Stegostoma tigrinum: one gene and its partners. Each later gene encodes a partner of the first gene's protein in a complex. Links are inferred from orthologs where the notes say so. Each region holds a gene or a part of one and is shown in the gene's direction. Other genes may lie near its edges.

The links.
Region 2: the proteins of grk1a (region 1) and rhodopsin are in contact, whole or in part, in a cryo-EM structure (PDB 7MT8), measured with the Bos taurus proteins. The link is inferred for Stegostoma tigrinum from reciprocal best matches to the Homo sapiens genes GRK1 and RHO. Residues at the interface, in NP_776598.1 of Bos taurus: Leu6, Glu7, Thr8, Val9, Val10, Ser13, Ala14, Ile16, Ala17, Ala18, Arg19, Gly20, Asp23, Ala24, Glu184, Asp185, Trp186, Phe187, Leu188, Asp189, Phe190, Val192, Arg195, Glu200, Gln205, Met206, Lys207, Lys221, Arg222, Thr256; in NP_001014890.1 of Bos taurus: Lys66, Lys67, Arg69, Thr70, Arg135, Val137, Val138, Val139, Lys141, Ser144, Asn145, Phe146, Arg147, Phe148, Glu150, His152, Leu226, Thr229, Val230, Ala233, Gln236, Gln237, Glu239, Thr243, Ala246, Val250, Met257, Ile305, Tyr306, Met309.
Region 3: the proteins of grk1a (region 1) and recoverin-like are in contact, whole or in part, in an NMR structure (PDB 2I94), measured with the Bos taurus proteins. The link is inferred for Stegostoma tigrinum from reciprocal best matches to the Homo sapiens genes GRK1 and RCVRN. Residues at the interface, in NP_776598.1 of Bos taurus: Phe3, Gly4, Leu6, Glu7, Val9, Val10, Ala11, Asn12, Ser13, Ala14, Phe15, Ile16; in NP_776590.1 of Bos taurus: Lys22, Trp31, Ser34, Phe35, Glu38, Cys39, Phe49, Ile52, Tyr53, Lys55, Phe56, Phe57, Tyr86, Leu90, Thr93, Ser94, Phe188, Glu189.

What each region holds. Positions count from the first base shown.
Region 1 is NC_081365.1:77,174,694-77,182,211, reverse strand, and holds the start of grk1a (rhodopsin kinase GRK1), read left to right. Parts: upstream 1-4,453; 5' UTR 4,454-4,689; coding exon 4,690-5,394; intron 5,395-7,518. UniProt on the Homo sapiens protein: Retina-specific kinase involved in the signal turnoff via phosphorylation of rhodopsin (RHO), the G protein- coupled receptor that initiates the phototransduction cascade.
Region 2 is NC_081364.1:67,532,719-67,540,336, forward strand, and holds the start of rhodopsin, read left to right. Parts: upstream 1-4,546; 5' UTR 4,547-4,701; coding exon 4,702-5,062; intron 5,063-7,618. UniProt on the Homo sapiens protein: Photoreceptor required for image-forming vision at low light intensity. Required for photoreceptor cell viability after birth.
Region 3 is NC_081375.1:46,580,044-46,587,940, forward strand, and holds the start of recoverin-like, read left to right. Parts: upstream 1-4,820; 5' UTR 4,821-4,883; coding exon 4,884-5,264; intron 5,265-7,897. UniProt on the Homo sapiens protein: Acts as a calcium sensor and regulates phototransduction of cone and rod photoreceptor cells. Modulates light sensitivity of cone photoreceptor in dark and dim conditions.

The sequences.
Region 1 (7,518 bases):
CAAAGAATCCCTACAGTGTGGAAACAGGCCATTCAGCCCAACAAGTCCACAACAACTCTCCAAAGAGCATCCAACCCACATGCCCCCTATTTTATCCCTGCATTTCCCATGGCCAATCCACCTAACCTAAACATCCTTAAACTGTGGGAGGAGACCAGAGCACCTGGCGGAAACCCATGCAGACATGGGGAGAATGTGCAAACTCTACACAGACAGTCACCCAAAGGTGGGTTGAACCTGCGTTCCTGGTGCTTTGAGGCAGCAGTGCTAACCACTGACCCACATGCCAGCTCCAGCTCATCTCTACAGGAGGTTCCTTAGGCTCTACAAAATGCAGTAACTTTATCAATGACTTTCCCTCTGTCACAAAGTCAGAAGCAGGGAGGTTCAGCACCGTTTGCGATGCTTGAGATACTGAAGCTGTTCATGCACGCAAGCCAAAAGACCTCAAGATTGTTCAATCTTGGGCTGATGACTATAAACAGCACTTGCACCACACAAGAGCCAGGCAATGACCAGCTCCAACCAGAGAGAATGTTACCAGCTTCCCTTGACATTCAATTCTTTTACTACCTCTGAATCCCTCACCATCAACCAGAAACTGTACTGTGGCTATGACAGCAGGTCAGAGGCTAGGAATACCGTAAAGAGTAACTCATCTCCTGACTTCCCAAAGCCTGCCCATTATCTACAAGGCGCAAGTCAGAAGTGTGATGGATGGAATACTCCCCACCTACCTGGATGAGTACAACTCAAAGAAAAAACTTGACATCATCCAGGCGAAAGCAGCAGTGTGTACTATCTACAAGACGCACTGCAGAAATTCAACAAGGGTCCTTTATTTCATTGCAAGAGGACTGGCAGGTAAGGCAAATAAACTCGGGCATGGATGGGTACACGGGACTGGGATAGTACAGCTATCACAGAAACATAGCTCAGGGAGGGACAGGTCTGGTATCTCAATGTTCTGGGTTATAGATGCTATAGGAAGGATAGAAGGGGAGGCAAGAGAGGAGGGAGAATTGCATTTTTGATTAGGGAGAACATCATGGCTGTACTGACAGATGACATTCTTGAGTGTTTGTCCACTGAGTCTGTGTGTGTAGAACTGAGAAGTAAAAAGGAGGAGATGACTCTGATTGTACTATAGCACCCACACCCCCCCGACACACACACACACACACACACACACACACACACACACACACACAGAGTAGGCAGCGGGAAATTGAGTCATAGAGTAATGCAGCATGGAAACAGCCCCTTTGGCCCAAACTGGTCCATGCTGCACACTCAGCTAGTTCCAATTGTCCACATTTGGTCCATATCCCTCTAAATGCTCCTGATCCATATATCGATCCAAATGCTTTTTAAATGTTGCTTTTGTTCCTGCCTCACCCACTTTGTCTGCCAGCCCATTCCACATATGCACCACTCTCTGTGTGAAGAAGTTGCTCCTTGGTCCTTCTTAAATCTATCCCCTCACCTTAAACCCAGCCCTCTGATTTTCAATTCCCTTCCCTGGGAAAAAGACTACATGCCTTCAAACTATCTATGCCCCTCATGATTTTATACACCTCAATAAGGTCACCCCTCGTTCTCCTTTGTTCCAAGGAATGAAGTCCTGTCCTGGCCAGCCTCTCCCTGTAACTCAGATCTACTAGTCCTCGCAACATCCTAGTAAATCTTCCTTCCACACTTTCTAGTTTAACTATGTCTTATAACAGAGTGACCAAAACTGTACACAATGCTCCAAGTGCAACAGTGTTATCTATGTGCAGAGCCACAAGTGATAGGTGAGATCCTAAAGAATATTTCTTGTCAGGATTTACCATGGAGAAGGCCATAGATGCTGAGAACCTGGAGAAATAAATAGCAATGTCTTAAAGAGACACATTACAGAAGAGGAGATGATGGAAGTCTTAATACGCATTAAGGTGCATAAGATCCCGGGACCAGATGAAGTGTGTCCCGGGACTTTGCGGGAAGCTAGGGAGGAAATTACAGAGCCCTTAGTGGAGATAGTTGTATCATTGACAGCCATAGGTAAAATGCCCAAAGGTTGGAGGGTGGCCCATGTTGCATCATTATTTGAGAACAGCTGCACAAATGGGACTAGTTTAACTGTGAAAACTGGCAGCATGGGTAAGTTGGGCCGAAGAGCCTGTTTCCATACTGTGACTCTATGAGTCCTCTGGCAGCACCTTTCAAGCCCATAACCACTACCGTCCAGAAAGAGTAGGGCAATAAATAGGTGGGAACACCTGTAAGGTCCCTTCCATGTCTCTCATCATCCTGACTTGGAAATATATCACCTTCCTTCAGTGTTGTTAAATGGAACTGCAGAGGTCTCCATGCCATGTCGACTGTATTGGTTCAAGACGGCAGATCAGTGCTATCTTCTCAAGCGCGGTTAGGGATGGGCAAAAAAATGCTGGCCCATGTACATCCCCTGAATGAATATTAAAATGTTATCTAATTCCTACACTTATTTATTCTCACACTAGTTCATTCTCACATAGGCTATTTCCCAGCCTAGATCTTTCCACACCAGTCCTTTCTTATATTTTAGACTCTACTCATCTTACTCTGTCCTTCTAAATTTTACAATAAAAGTAAATATTGAAGATATGCAGCACTTCTTCCTGGAACCCAGGATTTCATTTCACTTCAACGTAGTTGAAACAGTTCAGCTCTGGCCTGCAGTAAGTCAGAAATGCATTGCAAAATGTGCCTTGGATCAAATCCAAAGAAATATTACTTCATAACAATGGGCAATACACTGAATTAGTGTAATTGTAGGATTAGACTGGGTGAGATATTAAAGGGTGTGAGGAGTGAGGAGGAAGTGGAATTAGACTTGGTGGGATATTAAGGGGTATGGGAATGAATGGGAATATGGAGAATGCTACAAAGATAACTTTAGAGAGTAATTCCTTTATAATGTTAAAGAGTTATACAGCAATAGTATTAGAGAATAATAGCTGTAACATTGAAGAGTGATACAGGGATAACAAGTGACTTTCAATATTAGACAGTCTTAATATTAGAAAGTGATTTAATAGTGATGCAATTATACTACTGAACAGTATTAGAGTAAAAATGTTAGAGAGTAAAACAGGTGTAATATTTAGGAGTGATTCAGGGATAACATTTAAGAGTGGTGTAATTCTAACATTAGAGTATAACACTTGTTACTGAGAATGACACCATTATAATATAAAACTGACACAACAGTGCAATGTAGTATTAGAGAGTAACAGTTACAATATTGGAGGGAGACACTAAACTATCAATGTGGCACAATATTACAGAGTGACAGTTACAATATTAGAGAGAAATAGCTATACCATTAGAGTAGTACAGTTTTAATTCAGAGAGTGACAGTTATAATATTAGAGAGTGATAGTTACAATATAATATTAGAGCACAACAGCTATACTATCAGTGTGACACAGTTACAATAGGGAGGGACAGTTGTAATGTTAGAGGGTGATAGATAATTAGCTCGACTCAATTATAACATTAGAAAGAGCGAGATAATTTTGTGTCGTTGTTATAATGTTAGAGTGATGGATAATCAGTGTGATAATAATATTATTATAGGACAGTTTATATATATATTATAGTTATAATATTCTACAGTGAAAGATAAATAAGGTGACAGTCATAATATTAGTGAGTAATAGATAAATACTGTGCCAGTTATAATGAGACAGAGTGAAGAGAAAGTGGGATTAGACTGGGTGGGATATTAAGGATTGCGAGAATGTGGGAAAGAGTGGGATTAAACTGAGTAGAATATTAGAGATTGCTACGAAGATAACTTTAGAGAGTAATTCCTTTATAATGTTAGAGAGTTATAAAGTAATAGTATTAGAGAATGATAGTTGTAACATTGGAGAGTGACACAGGGATAACAATTGAGAGTGGTATCTTTCAATATTAGAGACTCTTAATATTAGAAAGGGATACAATCATGACATTAATACAACAACAATAGTAGCCTGACAGTTATAATGTTCGAGAGTGATAGATAAATACTGTTATAGTTATAATATTCAAGAGTAATAGATAATTAGTGTGACATAGTTATAATATTCGAGAGTAGTGGATAATTAGTGTGACACAGTTATAATATTAATAAGTAATAGATAATTAAGTGTGCCACTCTTAAAATATTAGACAGTGAGAGGTAATTAGTGTGACACAGTTATGATAGTCAAGAGTGGTTGGTAATTACTGTGACACAGTTATAATATTCGAGAGTGATAGATATAAAAAGAAACACATAGACGTTTCAGCGGAAGAGAGGAATTACTTGACGTGGAATTACTTATAAGTGGATCAAATATTTATTTAAGATGTTGACTCAGGATTATTTTGATTGCTGCTACCTGCCCTCTATAATAAAGACAGACAAGCATTGGATGGGATTAAGATAAAGAGACCGGAGAAAGTGTAAGACACACCATTCTTTCATACCCCTGGCTGGGTCAGTCATGTCAGCAGCACAGACACTGAGCCCCTCTCCTCAGTTCCTTTTGTTTGCTCTGTTGTTGAGCATGTTGTAGGGCCCCAGAGTGTTGGGATCCTGCTGTGCATTTTTTGAGCCCCACCGCCCCCTCCTCTCTATCTCTCACATGGTTTTGCTCTGGTTGAAGTGAATTAGCAACCAAAGACATCAGGATGGATTTGGGGAGTCTGCAGACAGTGGTGGCCAACTCCGCGTACATCTCAGCTCGGGGCAGTTTCGATGGATCCGCCAACCTGCAGATGACCAGGGATAAGAAATATCGAGCCAAGCTGAAGCTCCCTCACATCACCCAGAGCGAAACGCTGAAGGAGCAGATTGACTTGGCCTTCGATAGCATCTGTGTCAAGCAGCCCATTGGGAAGAAGCTATTCCAGCAATACTTAGACTCAGTGGCAGAGTACAAACCGGCCAATGAACTCTGGAAGGCTATTGAAGTGTACGACACAGCAGAAGATGAAGGTCTTCTCGAGAAAGCTCGAAACATTATCAGCAAGTTCTTGGAGTCGGGGACTGAGCTCTTCTGCAGTTATTTGGAAGAAAAGAGCATCTTGAGAGTGAAAGAGGACTGTGAGAATGTCAGAGAGGATCTCTTCAGGGAGTGCAAAGAGGCCACCATGAAATTCTTAAAGGAGGACAGTCCCTTCGAGCATTACAAGGAGAGCATGTATTTCATGAGGTTCTTGCAGTGGAAGTGGCTGGAGGCTCAACCCATTGGGGAGGACTGGTTCCTGGAGTTTCGGGTCTTGGGGAAGGGAGGGTTTGGCGAGGTGTCTGCTTGTCAGATGAAGGCCACAGGGAAATTGTATGCTTGCAAAAAGCTGAACAAGAAGAGACTGAAGAAGAGAAAAGGAAACCAGGTAAGGTGGAATAGATTGAAGCAGACGAATTGTTGTGGTAAATGACATTCAATAAATGCCAATCCTTTGTAGGATGTGGGTTAGAGTAATTGGATAAAACATCACCGTAAGCTGCTGAAAAGGATCATTTCAATAACCTTCCTATGAACCTGACCTCTGAACAGATTAACTGGCACCAGGGGTTTAACAATAACTGCCAGACCACTGTCCCACTCATTATTTCAGACACAGCGCACAAAGTATCAGTTGCAATCAATGGCTGAAATGAAGCAAATCATTCCAAGATTAATTAATGGAAGGGCACACATGGATATTTTGGGTGGGGGAGGGGGAGGTGACATGACATAATTGCTTGAATGACACAACGCCAAGCTAGCAAAGGGATCACAGAGACAATAGAAGGAAAACCATACTAAAACCGTGGGATAATGTGGGAGTAGAAACTGGAATCCACCAAACATTCCCAAGGTTAAACAGAGAGAGAGAGAAACATTCCTCACTAGTAGAGCAGGAGAGGGGGGGGGGGACAGAGGAGATTAGAACATGGAGCATGACTCTTTTTCCCTTAAAGGAGGGTGGAGATGTGAGCCCACTCACTCCATGGAGGCGCCGTGTCAATTGGGAATGTGAAAAATTGAGAACGATAACGATTAGTACATTTGCGATTGGGGGAGTTGTGGATGGTGAAGAGGATTGTCAGAGGATATAACAGGATATAGAGAGGCTGGAGACTTGGGCCGAGAAATGGCAGGTGGAATTTAATCTGAAAAAATGTGAGGTGATGCACTTTTGGAAGATCTAATATCAGGGGAAAGTAGACAATATATGGCTAAATCTTCAGTTTCATCAACAGACGAGGGATCTAGGTATACAGGTCCACAGTTTCTTGGAACTGGCAACAGAAGTGGAATTGGTGGTAAAGAAGGTATAAGGCACGTTTGCCTTCATCATTCTGGGCACACGGTATAAAAATTGGCAATGCTTGTAGCAGCTGTATAGAACTTCAGTTAGGCCGCATTTGGAGTATTGTGTACAGGTCTATTATTGTTTAAATGGTAAAATATTGAGAGATGTGGATGTACAAAGGGATCTGGATGTCTTTGTACACTAGTCAATGAAAGTAGGTGGGCAGATGCATCAATCAGGTAGTTGTTAGGCCCATAAATTCACCAAAGATCCTCAGACAGCACCTACCAAACCCACAACCACTTCCATCTAGAAGGACAGGGGCAGCAGACAGATGGGAACACCACTCCCTCCAAATTCCCTTCCAAGCCACTCACCATCCTGACTTGGAAATATGTCATTGCTCCCTCATAGTCGCTGGGTCAAAATCTTGGAATTCCCTCTCTTAAGGGCATTGTGGGTCAACCCACTGCAGGAGGACTACAGTGGGTCAAGAAGGCAGTTCACCACCACCTTCTCAAGGGCAACTAGGGGTGGGCAATAAATTCTGGCCCAGCCAGCGATGCTCACATCCCACAACTGAATAAAAAAAAACTTTGCACTATCCAGTGCCTCCAACTTTTTTTATATATCTCGTGAAGTAAATCGAATTGGCTGCGGACTGGTACCTGTGATGTTGGGAATCACTGGAGGAAGTGAAAGTAGATCATCCAGTCGCACTGGATTATTGCAAATGCTTCAGCCTCAAATTTTGCATTGATGTGCTGGGCTTTTCCATCATTGAGGATGGGGATATTTGTGAAGCCTCCACCCCAGTGAATTGTTTGATCTGTCCAACACCATTCATGACTGGATACGGCAGGACTGCAGAGTTTAGATCTGATCCACTGGTTGTGGGATGGTAGCCACTTATGCTGTTTGGCATGAAAGTCATCCTGTTTGGTAGATCACTACATTGAGACCTTATCTTCAGGTATGCCTGGCGCTGCTCCTGGCATTCCCTTCTACACTCTCCATTGAACCAGGGATGATCCCTTGGTTTGATGGTAATGGTTGAGCGGGGGATATGTCAGGCCATGAGATTACAGATTGTGCTGAAGTACAATCCTGCTGCTGTTGATGGTCCACAGCACCTCATGGATGACCAGTCTTGAGTTGCTGGATCTGTTTGAAGTCTGCCCCATTGAGCACAGTGATAGTGCCACACAATATGATGGA
Region 2 (7,618 bases), on another chromosome or scaffold:
ACCATTTCTCTCACTCATACCATTTCTCACTGAAATTGACACCTATTTCTCACACTCACAATGTTTCTGACTGAGATTGACACCAATTTCTCATACTCATGCTGTTCCACACTGAGATCGACACCCACGAGAATTCCTAGAAGCATGGCATCCCAACTGGAACTCCATCAACAAACACATTGATTTGGAGCCAATCTACCATTCCCTGAGAAAAAGAACAGGAAGTGACATCACCAACGCAGGAAATGACATCACCAACCCAAGGAAACCTAAACAGAGAAATAGAAAGCGGGACATAACACCAGCGCCTCATCGGAGGCTCACTGATGATGTTACCCAGAATGGTGACGAAACGTCTGAAAACGAACCTTCCAGCTCAGCGAGCAAACTCAATCCAGAACCTCAGCCTGAGCTACAAATCTTCTCAAAACTCGATTGATACCTATTTCTTACTCTCGCACTGTTCCTCACTGAGCTCGGTACTTATTTCTCACTTTCACACCATTCCTCACTGAGATCGATACCTATTTCTCACACCCACACTGTTCCTCACTGAAATCAATCCCCAATTCCCACACTCACGCAGTTCCTCAGAAAGATTCATCACTATTCTTTAAAACCTACACTGTTCCTCAGAGAATGACTTCCAATTCCCAACCTCACACAATTTCTCATGGAACATCACTCCAATAGCTCAAATTCACACTGATCCTCATTGCGATTGTAACATGATCAACAATCTGGACTGGATTCCCTGGTTAGGTCTGTGAATCTCGATCCAATCAGGGAACCTTGACAGATATAATAGAGTTGAGTGTCAGGAATATTGACACTGAGGTGCTTGAATTTGAATGGCACTGTACCATAGGCATGGACAGTTCACGTCGACTGATGGAAACCGAAAGAACTAGGGATGCTGTAAATTCGAAGCAAAACAGAAATTAATCAATTCTGAGGAAGGGTCACTTGACCTAAAATGTTAACTCTGATTTCTCCCCACAGACACTGCCAGAGCTCATAGGGAGTCATGACAGTTTCTCACAGAGATTCACTCCCATTGCTCATATTCACACTGTTCCTCACAGAGATTCACTCTCATTCCTCAAACCACACTGTTGCTCTCAGAGATGTCCCTCTGGATCTGATAGATATTTACCTAACAATGGGAATCACTCCCACTTACTTCAAATAATCAGCAACTGGTAGCTCTCAAAGATTTAACAAAGTGTGGAGCTGGATGAACACAGCAGGCCAAGCAGCATCTTAGGAGCACAAAAGCTGACATTTCAGGCCTAGACCCATCATCAGAGAGCTCTCTGATTTTGTGGTCCTGAGATGCTGCTTGGCCTGCTGTGTTCATCCAGCCCCACACTTTTTTATCTTGGATTCTCCAGCATCTGCAGTTCCCATTATCTCTGTTCTCAAAGATTTGTCTTGATAATTATGGGCTCTATTTACATCAATAGGACAGTGACACCATTATTACAATCAGCTCTGCTAAAATTCAGCAGAGGACAAAGGGTTTAATTTGGAAGAGGAAAATAGAATAAAGACAGTAAGCTTGCAAAGAATATTAAAAAATTTACTGCAAAAGCTTCTATTGATTAGTGAAAAAAAAACTGGTGAAGACAAACGTAGATCTCTGACAGAGATAATAGAAACTGCAGATGCTGGAGAATATGAGAATACAAGGTGTGGAGCTGGACGAACACAGCAGGCCAAGCAGCATCAGAGGAGCAGGAAGGCTTGGCTTTTCGGGTTGGGACCTTTCTTCTGAAATACTTTGGATCTGTCTTCACTAATGAGGACACAAATAACCTTCAGGAAAAGCTAGAGGGCAGAGGGTCAAGCATGAAGGAACTGAAGGACATTTTCTTTAGTCAGGAAATGGTATTGGGGAAAATGATGGGATTAAAACCCAATAACTCCCCAGGGAGGCCTGCAGCTCTGTATCCCAGAGCATGTAAGGAAGTAGCCCTAGAAATATTGGTAATTATTTTCCAACATTCTATTGACTCTGGAAGAGTTCCAATGGACTGGAGAGTAGCTAATGTGACACACTTTTTAAAAAAGGAGGGAGAGGAAGTAGGGAATTATAGGCCAGTTATCCTGACATCAGTGATGGGGAAATTGCTGAAGTCAATTATTAAGTATTAATTTAGCATTTGGAAAGTGGTGGCAGGATTGGTCCAAGGATTTGCTAAAGGGAATCTCCAGTCCATTGGAACTCTTTCAGAGTCTACAGAATGCTGGAAATCATGCTTGAAAAATCTTCTGGAAGACTTTGAGGATGTGACCAGTAGAGTGGACAAGAATGAATCAGTGGATGTTGTATATCTAGACTTTCAAAAGGCTTTTGACAAGGTTCAATGCAAGAGATTAGTAAGGAAAACTAAAGCTCAAGGTATCAGAGGTAGTGTATTGAAGTGGATAGAGAACTGGCTGGCAGGAAGCAGAGAGTTAGAATAAATGGGCCCTTTTCAGAGTGATCGGCAGTGATGAACGGGTGCTGCAGAGTTCTGTGCTGGGTCCTCAGCTGTTCATAATATATGTTCCTGATTTGGACAAAGGAATTGAATGCTATATCTCCAACTTTTCAGATGATACTAAGCTGGGTGTCCGTGTCTGCTGTGAGGAGGGTGCTAGGAGGCTGCAAGGTGACTTGGGCAGACAAACTGAGTGGCAAATGCCATATAATGGGGATAAATGTGAGGTTATCCACTTTGGTCACAAAAACAGGAAGGCAGATTATTATCTGAATGGTGGCAGTTCAGGAAAAGGTGAGGTGCAATGAGACCAGGGTGTCATGGAGGAACAGTCACTGAAGGTTGGTGTATTGGTGCAGCAGGCAATGAGAAAAGCTAATAGCAGCTGGCCCTCAGACCAAGAGGATTTGAGTTCGGAGTAAGGATGTTTTACTGCAGTTATACTGGGCCTTGGTGAGGGCACACCTTGAGTACCATGTGCAGTTTTAGTCTGTTAGTCTGAGGAAGTACATTCTTGCTATTTAGGGAATCCTGCGAAGATTCGTCAGACTGGTTTCAGGATGGCAGGGCTGATATATGAGGAAAGACTGGATCAACTGGACTTGTTATTTCTGGAATTTAGAAGAATGGGATTTGGGGGTGTGGTTTTTAGAAACATCAAATCCTGATGAGAATGGACAAGCTAGATATGGGAGGAATGTTCCTGATGTTGGGGAAGTCCAGAACTAGGTGTCACAATGTACGAATAAGGTGTAAGCCATTCAGGACTGAGATGAGGAAGAATTTCTTCACTCAGAGTTGTGAACCTGTGGAATTCTCTCCCACAGGAAGCTGTTGGGGCCAGTTCATTAGATATATTCAGAAGGGAGCTGGATGTGACCCTTGCGGCTAAGTGGATCAAGGGGTATGGAGAGAAAGTAAGAGTGGAATACTGAGAGTGCATAATCAGCTATGATCATATTGAATGGTGGTGTAAATTCAAGGGGACCACGTGGCCTATTCCTGCACCTAGTTTCTAAGTTTCAATGTTTCTGTGTAAAATGCAAGCACAGTCTCTTCATACAGGTTATAGTACTCGCTATTATATGTGTTCTAGCCTGTAAAATAACACAAATCCAGATTCTGATATTCCAACAGTTCCATTCAACACAATAGACACCAGCACAATACCCTTACATTCACCAAAAGAACTGCGGATGCTGTAAAACAGACACAAAAACAAAGTTGCTGGAAAAGCTCAGCAGGTCTGTCAGCATCTGTAAAGAGGACTCAAAGTTAATGTTTTGGACCTGGTAACCCTTCCCCAGAATTGATGGGAGCTAGGAAAATGTTGGTTTGCATGCAGAAGTCAGGGTGGGGGTAGGGGGTAAGGAGTAAAAAATAGGCAGAAGAAAGAGCTCAAAGAGAGAGAAGAACAGTTGGACAAAGCAGTTGAAAATGATCTGGCTAGTGGGGTGAATAGCTGTTAAGAGAGGCTGCTAGTGGCTAACAACAGGTAGTGTGCAATGGCAAGCTATGTGATAATAAGACCTGGGTATGTGGGGTAGGGCCTAGGACGTGGGAGAATATAGGCTCTAAAATTATTTAGCTCGATATTGAGTCCGGACGGCTGCAGGGTCCTCAAGCAGTAAACCAGTTGTTGTTTTTCCAGCTTGTGTTGAGCTTCACTGGAACACTGCAGTAAGCCAGAGACAGAGATATTGGCCAGGGAACAGGGTGATGTGTTAAAGGAGCAGGGAACTGCCAGCATACACATGAAGCTCATCTCCATGTGTATGCTGGCCCTCCCAGATGGAATGACGTGAAGATACAGGCATAATTAGCAAATTTGCTCACCGACACAGACCTGTATCAACTTTGTGTTTTTATTTCTTCCATGTTTGACAACTTCTGAGCAGGCTGTCAGGGCAAAGGCCTCACTGCCCAGTGCAGCAGTGTGAGTGTTAATGGCTCAATGATACCGTCTCAGCTCCTGCCTGGATTATTATTCTTTTGCCGTGGCTTAAATTGCTTTCTGCTGACAGGCAGGGTCAGAGTAATCCAAGGCTTTATAAGGGGGCTCAGAGACCTGGAGTGGGGGGGGTTTGATTGTGGCCTGTCATTGCTCAAGTCAGTCAGTTCCTGTGCTGGTTCGGGTCAGGTTCAGAGAGGATCACCATCGAGGGAAAGTAAGGAGAAAGTTTGCTTCGACTGAGCTGCACAACAAGCTGCAACCATGAATGGCACCGAAGGAGAGAACTTCTATATACCCATGTCCAACAAGACAGGTGTGGTTAGGAGCCCATTCGAATACCCGCAGTACTACCTGGCTGAGCCTTGGAAATTCTCCGTGCTGGCAGCCTACATGTTCTTCCTGATTATAACAGGGTTCCCCATCAATTTCCTCACCCTGTACGTCACCATCCAGCACAAGAAACTTCGGCAGCCTCTTAACTACATCCTCCTCAACCTGGCTGTTTCTGATCTCTTCATGGTCTTTGGTGGATTCACTACCACCACCATCACCTCAATGAATGGCTATTTCATCTTTGGACCAACTGGTTGTAACTTTGAAGGCTTCTTCGCCACACTTGGAGGTAAGATCCCGATGTGTTTTCATCCACTGGTTCATTGCTTGGTCCAATTTCAGGGATCAGGAGACATGAGTTCATTGCCAGTTCAAGCCCTTGTTTGCTCAGAAGCTGTATGTGGGGAAAATTCAATGGGATATTCCGCAGATAGATATTAATGAGGCTTTAAGTTAATTTATCTACAGCGGATGCGATAAAGTGTAAGAATTACATGTGTGACTTGATAAACCGCTTGCATTGCTTAGTGCAAACTTTGCTCAACGAGCAAAGTTAAAAGTTTGGAGCAAGAATATCGGGTTATAGATGTTATAATCAGATAAGCTAAGATACATTTCCTAGCTGTCTGGATGGGACTTCCGGAGAGTTCCAGAATTGTAATGCTGCAGAAGGATGCAGTCCAGACTATCCTGTTTGCAATGGTTCTATTAGCTCATGCCAGTCTCCTGTCTTATCCCCCTATCCCAGCCCCCCATTTCTAACAATTGCTGTCTTGAATGCCTCAGTAGAACCTGCCTCTACCATATTTCTAGGCAGTGCATTCCAGACCCTAACTAGTCACAATGTGGAAAAGATTTTTCTCACTTCCTCCTTGCTTTGCCCGTAGTGTTCAGTGGCGTGTGGGTTATAGGGGGATGGGTCAGGGTGGGTTGCTCCAAGGGGAGGTGTGGACTTGTTGGGCCGCAGGGCCTGTTTCCACACTGTAGGGAATCTAATCTAATCTAATCTAATCACTTTAAACCTATGCCCTGTCATTGTTCTTCCTTTTAAGAGTGTTTTGAACCCAGCCCTTCTGGTCCAGAGGCGCTGAAACTACTACCGTGCTGCAGGTCACTTAAAATGAGTCCCGTTAACATTTAGCAGCAAATGGGAGCAAGTCAGATTGCCTTCATACAGGGACAGTGAATTCTAGTGACGTTTGACAGAATATGATAACCCCTACACTAAAGGGACAAAATGATGCATCATGTTGTGCCATGTCTGATCCTGACTGCCTATTAAGGCCAAAGTCCCTGGGTATCAACAAGGGTAAAACGATAGAAGTTGGCTCAAGTTTCAATCCTCTAATCCTGGCAAAGAGAAAACTCAGTATAGTCTTCACATGGAAAAGGGAATAGTGAAGGGATCATTGGAACACGGTTTAAGCTGAGGGAATCTAGACAGGGTAAATGTGGAGGAATGATAATCCCAGAGTGGGGAGTCCAGTAAGGGGGGTCAGAGTTTAAGAATAGAGGGTAGGACATTTGGGAATAAGATGAGGAGAAATTTCTTCACCCAGACGGTGTAATTCTCTGCCACAGAAAGTAGTTGAAGTCACAACATTAATTTTTTTCAAGACGGAGTTAGAAATATTTCCTGGGGCTAAAGGAGTAATGCTGCAGAAGGAGGTGAGAAAGCAGGGAACAAGGGACCGAATGATTAAGTGTGATCATATTGAGCAGTCTCAAAGGGCAGATGACCTACTCCTGTTCATTTTCTCCATGTTCTATGTCCTCCTCTGCCTTTAATACTCTGACATGGCATTGGCTGTCCAGTAGAAAAAAACATTTAACGCAAAAATCTAGAGTGAAGAGAAATGGAGAGTTTGGAAACCAATAAAAGGAGGATAAGAAACAATGTTCTCACAGCAACCAAAGGATAGAAGAAATGGGGGTCACCATCAGAAGCAGAATATCAAGAACAGCAGTTGTGCAAACTAACTCTCAGGAGCAGAAATGGGTAACATGAAAACATCTGTTTGCTGAGCGATTCCAGCGATATTTGAGAACGGAAAATGACAAGACAACCAGAAAAACAATGTTAAAAGCTTGGAGAGAGAACAATGTGTGAATGAATATGAGCTTATCCCATTTCCATCCTGAAGATGAGTATATTTGCCTCAAAAGGATCAAGGAGAATCTTACAAATTTAAAACAGTTACACTGGAAATGCTTGGGTAACTGATGAACAAGAAAAGGAACAAGCATGGACAGGATATTTTGAAAGTGTCACTTTGGCTATGAAGATTTTCACTCATTTCTCCTAATGTGGATCATGTAATTTTGGAGACCTTGGGGAAGTTCCTGTGACAGTAAACGTGGTTCAACTAAATGATTGCAAAATTGGACAGGCTTTAAACAAGGGGTGAAATAAATCATGAAAACATTTAAAGGAACCTGGAAAAACTCCTGCTGAGCAGCAAATTCCAATTAGCATTCTGTGTACATGGTGGGACATGTAAGTAGTGCAAATTGTGATTCAGCGATAAGGCAGGGAGTAAATAATAGTGTAAATCATGCTTGGTGTAAGAAGGTGAATGTGAAGCCTAGTGTAAGTGGGAAACAATGTTAATTAGATGTGGCATTGATTGAAGTGGGTACAGAGTAAATAACTTGCAAATTAAATTTGCTCAAAATGTAATTTCATACAGTCCAAATCACCTTCAGGGGATGTAAAATATGGTGGGAATTGAATTTGATGACCATCAAATTTGATGTAAACTTCATGTGGTGTAAAGAGTTTGCTTTGATTTATCATTGTTACATATGCCAAATACAATGAAAAATACTGTTTCATGTGCTAACC
Region 3 (7,897 bases), on another chromosome or scaffold:
CATCAATTTCTAATTTTAATGCTTGTAATGTTGCTGCCTGTCTGTTAGTTTACACTAAATACCCTCTGAGTAAAGGAGCTATTACTAATGTTTGTTCTGAATTTACTTTTGTATTTGCATTCTGTGTTTCTACTGACACGATCCACTTGAAAATGATATTCTGACATTACATCATCTATCTATTTGATTTTGTGTTTTATATACACAAAAGAGACCAAACTAAGGATCAAACTGAAGGTGCATGATTTCCCCATTGACTTTAGGCTCAAATGGGGGTCAAGAGGTCAAAGTCTGTGAGGAATAGTCACTTGCCTCTGATTTTCCCTAAATTGCTCAAGTTATGACAAGTCAGCAGCCTTGCTGCCCAATAGGATAATGAGCAGGCTCTTGAAACTGGATGGCCAATAGGTTCTCATTTAGCTCAGAAGGAAGAGGGGTGAGTCTTTCAAGGAAGTGAGAAAGAGGGTACTGGAAGATGGAAGCCCCATCTCAAACTTTTCAAAAGTTCTATTTTTAAAAAATCTGATTAACTGGGCCACCATCGTGAAGTGTTTTCAGCAATACAGGGAGCTGTGCCTGGAGTCAGGTGGATGTGGAGGGCCTTTAAAACTGCCTGGAGCAGAAGGTGACTTGCACCATAGTTCCCCCAGACCTTTAGGGACATTAGATGACACAGAGTTTCCAGTTGACCCTCAACAATTTGCATTATTTTATCTTTCACAAGGTCCAGTAGCTGCCTACTGCTTGCAGTTGGGTAACCCTTCCAACCCCTACATCCTGCCACCCAGAAAACAGGGAGTTGGCACCCCAGCTGGCAGGAGGGAAGTCTGTACCCACTCCCAATAAAGACTCACCCCTACAGTTCTGTGGGAGGGTCAGCAGACCCAAAACTTTAACTCTGCTTTTTTCACAGACGCTGCCAGACCTACTGAGCTTTTCTGGCAACTTCTGTTTTTGTTCCTGATAAACAGCACCTGCAGTTCTTTTGGTTTTTTGTTTGAAGACTCACGCCTAAACTGGAAACCAGTCAGTGTCATAGAAGTTTTATAGTTTTGAGTGTGTAGGTTATCTGTCCAAAAAAGACATTTCATGTGATTTTTTTTTGAAAGAAGATGCATTTCTTTGTTGCAATTGACATTTCTAGTGCCAAGCTGCATAACGATGGTTTTTGCTACAGACTGCACTGATTAACGTTTTTTGCCAAATGACTTCACAGGTAAAGTCAGACTGCTGCAAAATTTGATTTAATATTTAAGGATTATTTATTTCCTTTGTATCCATTTTTGGGTTATCATTTAGTAGACACATATAGTCTTGTTTCAACAAAAATAACAGTGGAATGTGTGACAAAAATAGTGTGGAAATAGAAGCCGGTAATTTAACGCTAGATTCTTGTCTAACTGAAATACTACTGCTTCTAAATATCTGAGCGAATTTGCTTCGATTGACTTGCTATACAAGTAAACATTACATTGCATCAGGTTGAAATGGAATTCTTCATATCCAAACAAGCAAATCCAGATCATGTGCAATGAGAAGTTTAATGAAGGTGCAGGAAGATCTTCCAGCACCTCTTAATTTCCTGCATCCATAGTTCTTTGGTTTTATTTAGTTTGGTACCTCCTGCCTGCTCTGTAATTTCTGTCACTGAGTTTCTCAATTTGGATTTTACCAGAGCCACTCAGCTATAGACTGCATTATATTCAATTTTGGCCCAAACATGGGTATAAAAGCTGAATTTCAGTAGCAAGGTAAGAGTGGTTGACCTTATCATCATGGCTGTTTTTGAAACTCTCTGCTGTTCATAGTCATTATTAGCACAAAGGAAGTTGAGTTTGCTTGTTGGAAGATAACTATGTCAGCCATAAGACTTTTCCTCGAGGCGTTTCCGTGAAATATTATTCTGAGATGTTTTATCAATGATTTTCCCTTTAGCGTTAGTGCAGAAATGTGGATGCTCACTTATTTATTGCAGTGTTGTTCACAACTTCTCATGTACTGAAGCAATTCATTCCCACATACAGTAACCTGGACAATATCTGGGCTTGAACGAGTCATAAGGGTACAAGACAGTGAGATGCATGTGCAGAAGTAGGCCATTCATCCCACTGAGTCTGCTTCACCATTCAAAGAACAAATAAAAAGGACATGTGTAATATTGAGATAACAAGATGTAGAGCTAGATGAACACAGCAAGCCAAGCAGCATCAGAGGAGCGGGAAGGCTGATGTTTCGGGCCTAGACCCTTCTTCATAAATTGGGAGGCAAAGTGTGTTCTGAAATAAATACGGAGAGAGGGGGAGGTGGATAGTAGATAGATAGAGGAGAAGGTAGATGGAGAGGAAACAGACAGGTCAAAGAGGCGGGGATGAAGCCAGTAAAGGTGAGTGTAGGTGGGGAGGTAGGAAGGAGATAGGTCAGTCCAGGGAGGACGGACAGGTCAAGGGAGTGGGATGAGTTTAGTAGGTTGGAGATGGGGGTGGGGCTTGAGGTGGGAGGAGGGGATAAGTGGGAGGAAGGACAGGTTAGGGAGGCAGGGACGAGCTGGGCTGGTTTTGGGATGCAGTAGGGGGAGGGGAGATTTTGAAGCTTGTGAAGTCCACATTGATACCATTGGCCTGCAGGATTCCCAAGCAGAATATGAATTGCTGTTCCTGCAACCTTCGGGTAGCATCATTGTGGCACTGCAGGAGGCCCAGGATGGGCATGTCGTTTGAGGAATGGGAGGGGGAGTTGAAATGATTCGTGACCGGGAGGTGCAGTTTTTTATTGCAAACCGAGCATAGGTGTTCTGCAAAACGGTCCCCAAGCCTCCGCTTGGCTTTCCCGATGTAGAGGAGGCCACAACGCAGTATACCACATTAGCAGATATGGGGCCTGGGATAGGGTGAGGCGGGGGAGGTGTGATGGCAGGTGTAGCACTTCCTGTGGTTGCAGGGAAAAGTGCTGGATGTGGTGGTGCTGGAGGGGAGTGTGGAGTGGACAAGGAAGTCATGGATAGAGTGGTCCCTTCGGAAAGCAGATAAGGGTGGGGAGGGAAAAATGTCTTGGGTGGTGGGGTGGGATTGCAGATGAGAATGTCGGAGGATGATGTGTTGGATCCGGAGGTTGGTGGGGTGGTACATGAGGATGAGGGGGATTCTGCTTTGGTTGTTATTGCAGGGAGGGGGTGTGAGGGATGAGTTGCGGGAAATGCGGGAGACATGGTCGAGGGCATCCTCGACCACTGTGGGGGGAGGTCGTGGTCCTTGAAAAACGAGGACATTTGAGATGTACAGGAGTGGATAGTCTCATCCTGGGACCAGATGCGGTGGAGGCAAAGGAATTGGGAATAGGGGATGGCATTTTTGCAGGAAGGTGGGTGGGGGGAGGTGTATTCTAGGTAGTTGTGGGAGTCGGTGGGCTTAAAATGGATATTGGTTTCTAGGTGGTTGCCAGAGATGGAGAAATAGAGGTCCAGGAAGGATAGAGAGGTGTTAGAAATGGTCCAGGTGAACTTAAGGTTGGGGTGGAAGGTGTTGGTGAAGTGGATGAACTGTTCGAGTCCTCGGGGGAAGACGAGGCGGCACCGATATAGTCATCAATGTAACGGAGGAAGAGGTGGGGTTTAGGGCCAGTATAGCTACAGAAGAGGGACTGTTCCACGTAACCTACAAAGAGGCAGGCATAGCTTGGACCCATGCGGGTACCTATGGCACCCCCTTTGTCTGTAGGAAGTGGGAGGAATTGAAGGAGAAGTTGAGGGTGAGGACGAGTTCGGCTAGGTGGATGAGGGTGTTGGTGGAGGGGGATTGGTTGGGCCTGTGGGACAGGAAGAAGTGGAGGGCCTTTAGGCCATCTGCATGGGGAATACAGGTGTATAGGGACTGGACGTCCTTGGGAAAGATGAGGTGTTGGGGACCAGGGAATTGGAAGTTCTGGAGGAGGTAAAGGGCATGGGTGGTGTAGGTAAGGATTTCCTGAACTAAGGGGGAGAAAATAGAGTCGAGATAGGTGGAGATAAGTTTGTTGGGCAGGAGCAGGCGGAGTCGACCAGTTTGTGGATTTTGGGTAGGATTGTCACGTCCCAGTTCCCCTTTAAATCACATACCAATCTGTCTTGGATTTCTACGACTGTTTTCAGCATTGCGACTGAGTCAAAATCCATTATGGGATTAACAGGACCACCACAAGAAATAGAGTGGTTCCACGTGAACACTTACACTTTTCTCAGGGCAACTATATTTTCTGTGAATCTTATGTAATCCTGTGCAAGCTTATAAGGGAGAAGTGAATACAGGGTTACGTGATATAACTAAATGAGTAAAGATAGGAGAAAGCTTAAGTGGAGCAGCAACCTGTTGTGTTGCTTGGCCTGTTTCTGCTTGAGATAAAGGATGAACCACGATCTTGTCGAGTGGCTGTGTGGTTTTGATTGTCTGAACAGCCGACTTCTGCTCCTATTTCCTATACTTCCATACGTAACTTAACAACAAATTTCAACTTAGCAGTTTATCCACACCCTGACAACAAAGTTAAAAATAACCAACAATTCCATTCTCTGTGAATACAAATAATCAATGGATTAGTAAATTAACAACATGTGTTACTGCAAAGTAACATTGTACAGAAAATGAACTGTCTGCAAGCACAGATGTTGATTATAATTTTAAGGTATTTTAGGTTTTGTGTCAGTTATTTCCATTAGCTATTTAGCTTGCAATGTATGTAAAAATTTTGCTGCCTTTGTGAATGTCAGGCAAGGAGATAAAGACTAATCCTTTTAATCCATAAAGCTTAATCTGTTCTCATAAATATAGTTCTGCAATCAGTCTGTACGGTCTTTAGTGAGTCAGAAGAGGTCTTGTGTAGTCCTTTGCATCTTCTAGGCTGTGTGAGTAGGAATGGGAAACTCTAAAAGTAGTGCCCTGTCCAAGAGTATCTTGGAAGACCTCAAAATGAACACCAAGTACACAGAAGAGGAGCTCTCCTTATGGTACAAGACATTCTTGAAGGAGTGCCCAACTGGCTTGATCACCATGGCACAATTTGAGAAGATCTATTCTGGCTTCTTCCCAGATGCAAACCCCAAAGATTATGCTCACCATGTCTTCAGGAGCTTTGACACCAACAGTGATGGGACACTGGATTTTAAGGAATACATCATTGCCCTTCACCTCACCTCCTCTGGAAAGATGTCACAGAAGCTTGAGTGGGCTTTTTCTCTCTATGATGTGGATGGCAACGGCACAATCAACAAGGAAGAAGTACTGGAAATTGTTAAGGTATGGCTAAACTTTAAATCGATGCCCAAAACTGCACCATGTCAGTTTAGTAAATTGGTGAATAACTCACATCCCATCTTGGTGTTATTTTCTTCTCTCTATTTCCCTTAATGCTTACCATTCAGCTACAGAGCATATTTTGAGTGCAACCTTTCCAATCAAGGCCTCTCCTGCAGGCGGTGACCATTATCTGCAGAAATAGCCGGAGATGAGTGAGCTGATATTATTTCTTTTCTCCTTCCCATCTTTCTCAAGACAATCATGGGGTTACCATATAAAAATGAACACATCGCACATTCTACCATTATACAACTTAACTCAGCAATAACTTCAAGTTATGCATTCACTGCAAAACAAAATCTTGAAATTGTTTTTATTTCTAATGCATTGAAGCATAATCCCAAGGCATCCTTAGGCACTTTGCTTTTAAAGCATAGCCATGTCTATACAACTGGACTGAACACAAAATATACTGGCTGCAAAGTTTGAGAAAACCAGCCAATGAACGTAAATTAGATCATGTGTTTTTCATGGTGTTGATCATAGAAGGAATATTAACTCGATTACTGGAAAAATCCTCTGGTCTGATTTGAATAGCATCAAGGGAATGAATACATTAAGTTTGTAGCAAATTAATTAAATGTAGAGCACAACACACCAATAGCACGATCTATAAAGATAACATTCATCATAAGTAAAAGTATCTATTAACATTTCAGTTGGGATATGTATTACAACAGCAAAGGACTTATTAGATAGGAGACTGATCAAATTGCCAGTAGCAGTCCATGTGGATATAGTGGAAATATGGAAGAGTTTTTGATGGTTTAGTCACTGTTGCATTATGTTACATTAATAGTTGTGATGACTTCGGAATGTGACTGGAATTTGTAAATATATTAAAGCTCAACTTAATGAGCAGTATCTGCTTCATTGCACTCTGTGTTGGAATACGACTGAACAAAAATACAATGGAATGGCAATTGGGATGTGATGTTTGACCTTTCAAATCTTTTAACAATGTTCATGTTTCATATCGTTGTCCTTCAGAAGCACTTCATGGTGCATTCAGATGTCTCAAGATCATGAAGGGCTGTACTTAAAAGCAGGAGGGGTAACATTTGACCTGGAAACAAATGTAGGGATCATGACATGCATATTCTTTTGAATGCAGGCGGTTTGTGATTTTCAAACAACCTGCTGACTTCCATGATATTTGAGTGCAGTGCTCTTGGTAGCTGTATAGGCTAGCACCACTTAAAGCTGGTATCCACAACTTAAAGACAAACTGCACTTTGTAGGGAAGATACGTTCTGGCTAGAACAGCTGATGGAATTAACTGGTGGTTTTGCGGAGGAGGAACACTGACTAATCAAGAGTTTCAGGTCCAGCACTGGAGATGCTAATGCCAAAGGTGGAGAAGAGGGGAGACGGCTTCCATCCAGGTGGGCTTTGGAGACCCCTCTATATTAAGGCTGAGAAGGCTATGGGAGCAGGTAGGTTTCATAGTCAACATATCTATTGTTGCTGGAAGGACCTGGATGCAGTGCTGTGAGCTCAATGTCCTCAAATAAGTGCTCAAATTCAGAGAAAATATCTTCAAATTTCATATTCTCACAACTGAATTTTATGACTAACCTCAGACACTGCTCTGTTCACCAACCCCCTTCACTCGCCTATCAATAATCACTATCAGTCATTACCCATGCTTCACATTTGCCACCACACCGATCTCACACTTAGTCATGCATCTCATGATTCGCAAAACTGCCAGCTCTTGAACCGTGGCAGATAAATCACATAAGCACATTGCGATGGGCTCACAGGCACAGCTCCAACTCTCTCAATGAGCAAGTTGGGGCTGTAACTGGGAGCACAGCTTTTGAGAAGCAGGGGACAGGACTGGCTGTACGTATTTATTTGCACAGAGATGGACTTACACTGAATCCTCTTTCACAGCTTCCTCTCACCTCCCAATCTCCCCTGATTTAAAAAGCTGCACGGGGTCTAATCACACACTTCTCGCTGCCCCTTTCCCTCTCCGCTGACCCTCAACACAACACAAGCCTTGTGTCTTTCTCTTGTCCGATCCTCAGGGACTTAACAGTGATGGAAGACTGAGTGGAGAAAGGTAAGGAGGACAATGATGAAGAGGGAACACAAGTATTCACAGCCACTAGCTCAGACAGTGACACTGCACAAAGCTCGGGAATGGAACTTGCACAAGTATCCTGGAGCTGGATCAGAGGACAAGGATAGCAACAATTGCAAATCACCAGAGGATGAGGGTACCCCTGGGTCCTGATGCAAAGAAGTCAGATGATGATTTTGAAGAATCAGACTACCAAGGACAATGGTTGAGCACATGCAATGAAAAGGGTAATGTATTCAGGAACTCACCAGAAAGCCTGTGGTCAATGGTACACAGCATGGAGAGGATCACTGTTGACTCTGCCCGCTCGATGATCTATTCGCAGGATACATACCGAGACAAATATCGACTGTACTTGGAGGAGCATCAACTCGGTGAAAGGTGCTCTTTGGTCTGCCTGAAACTTGTTGGTACTCCAGAACAAGGAGTTGACCCTGACCGAATATTGCAGACTGCACATTCCAAGATCTAGGACTACGTG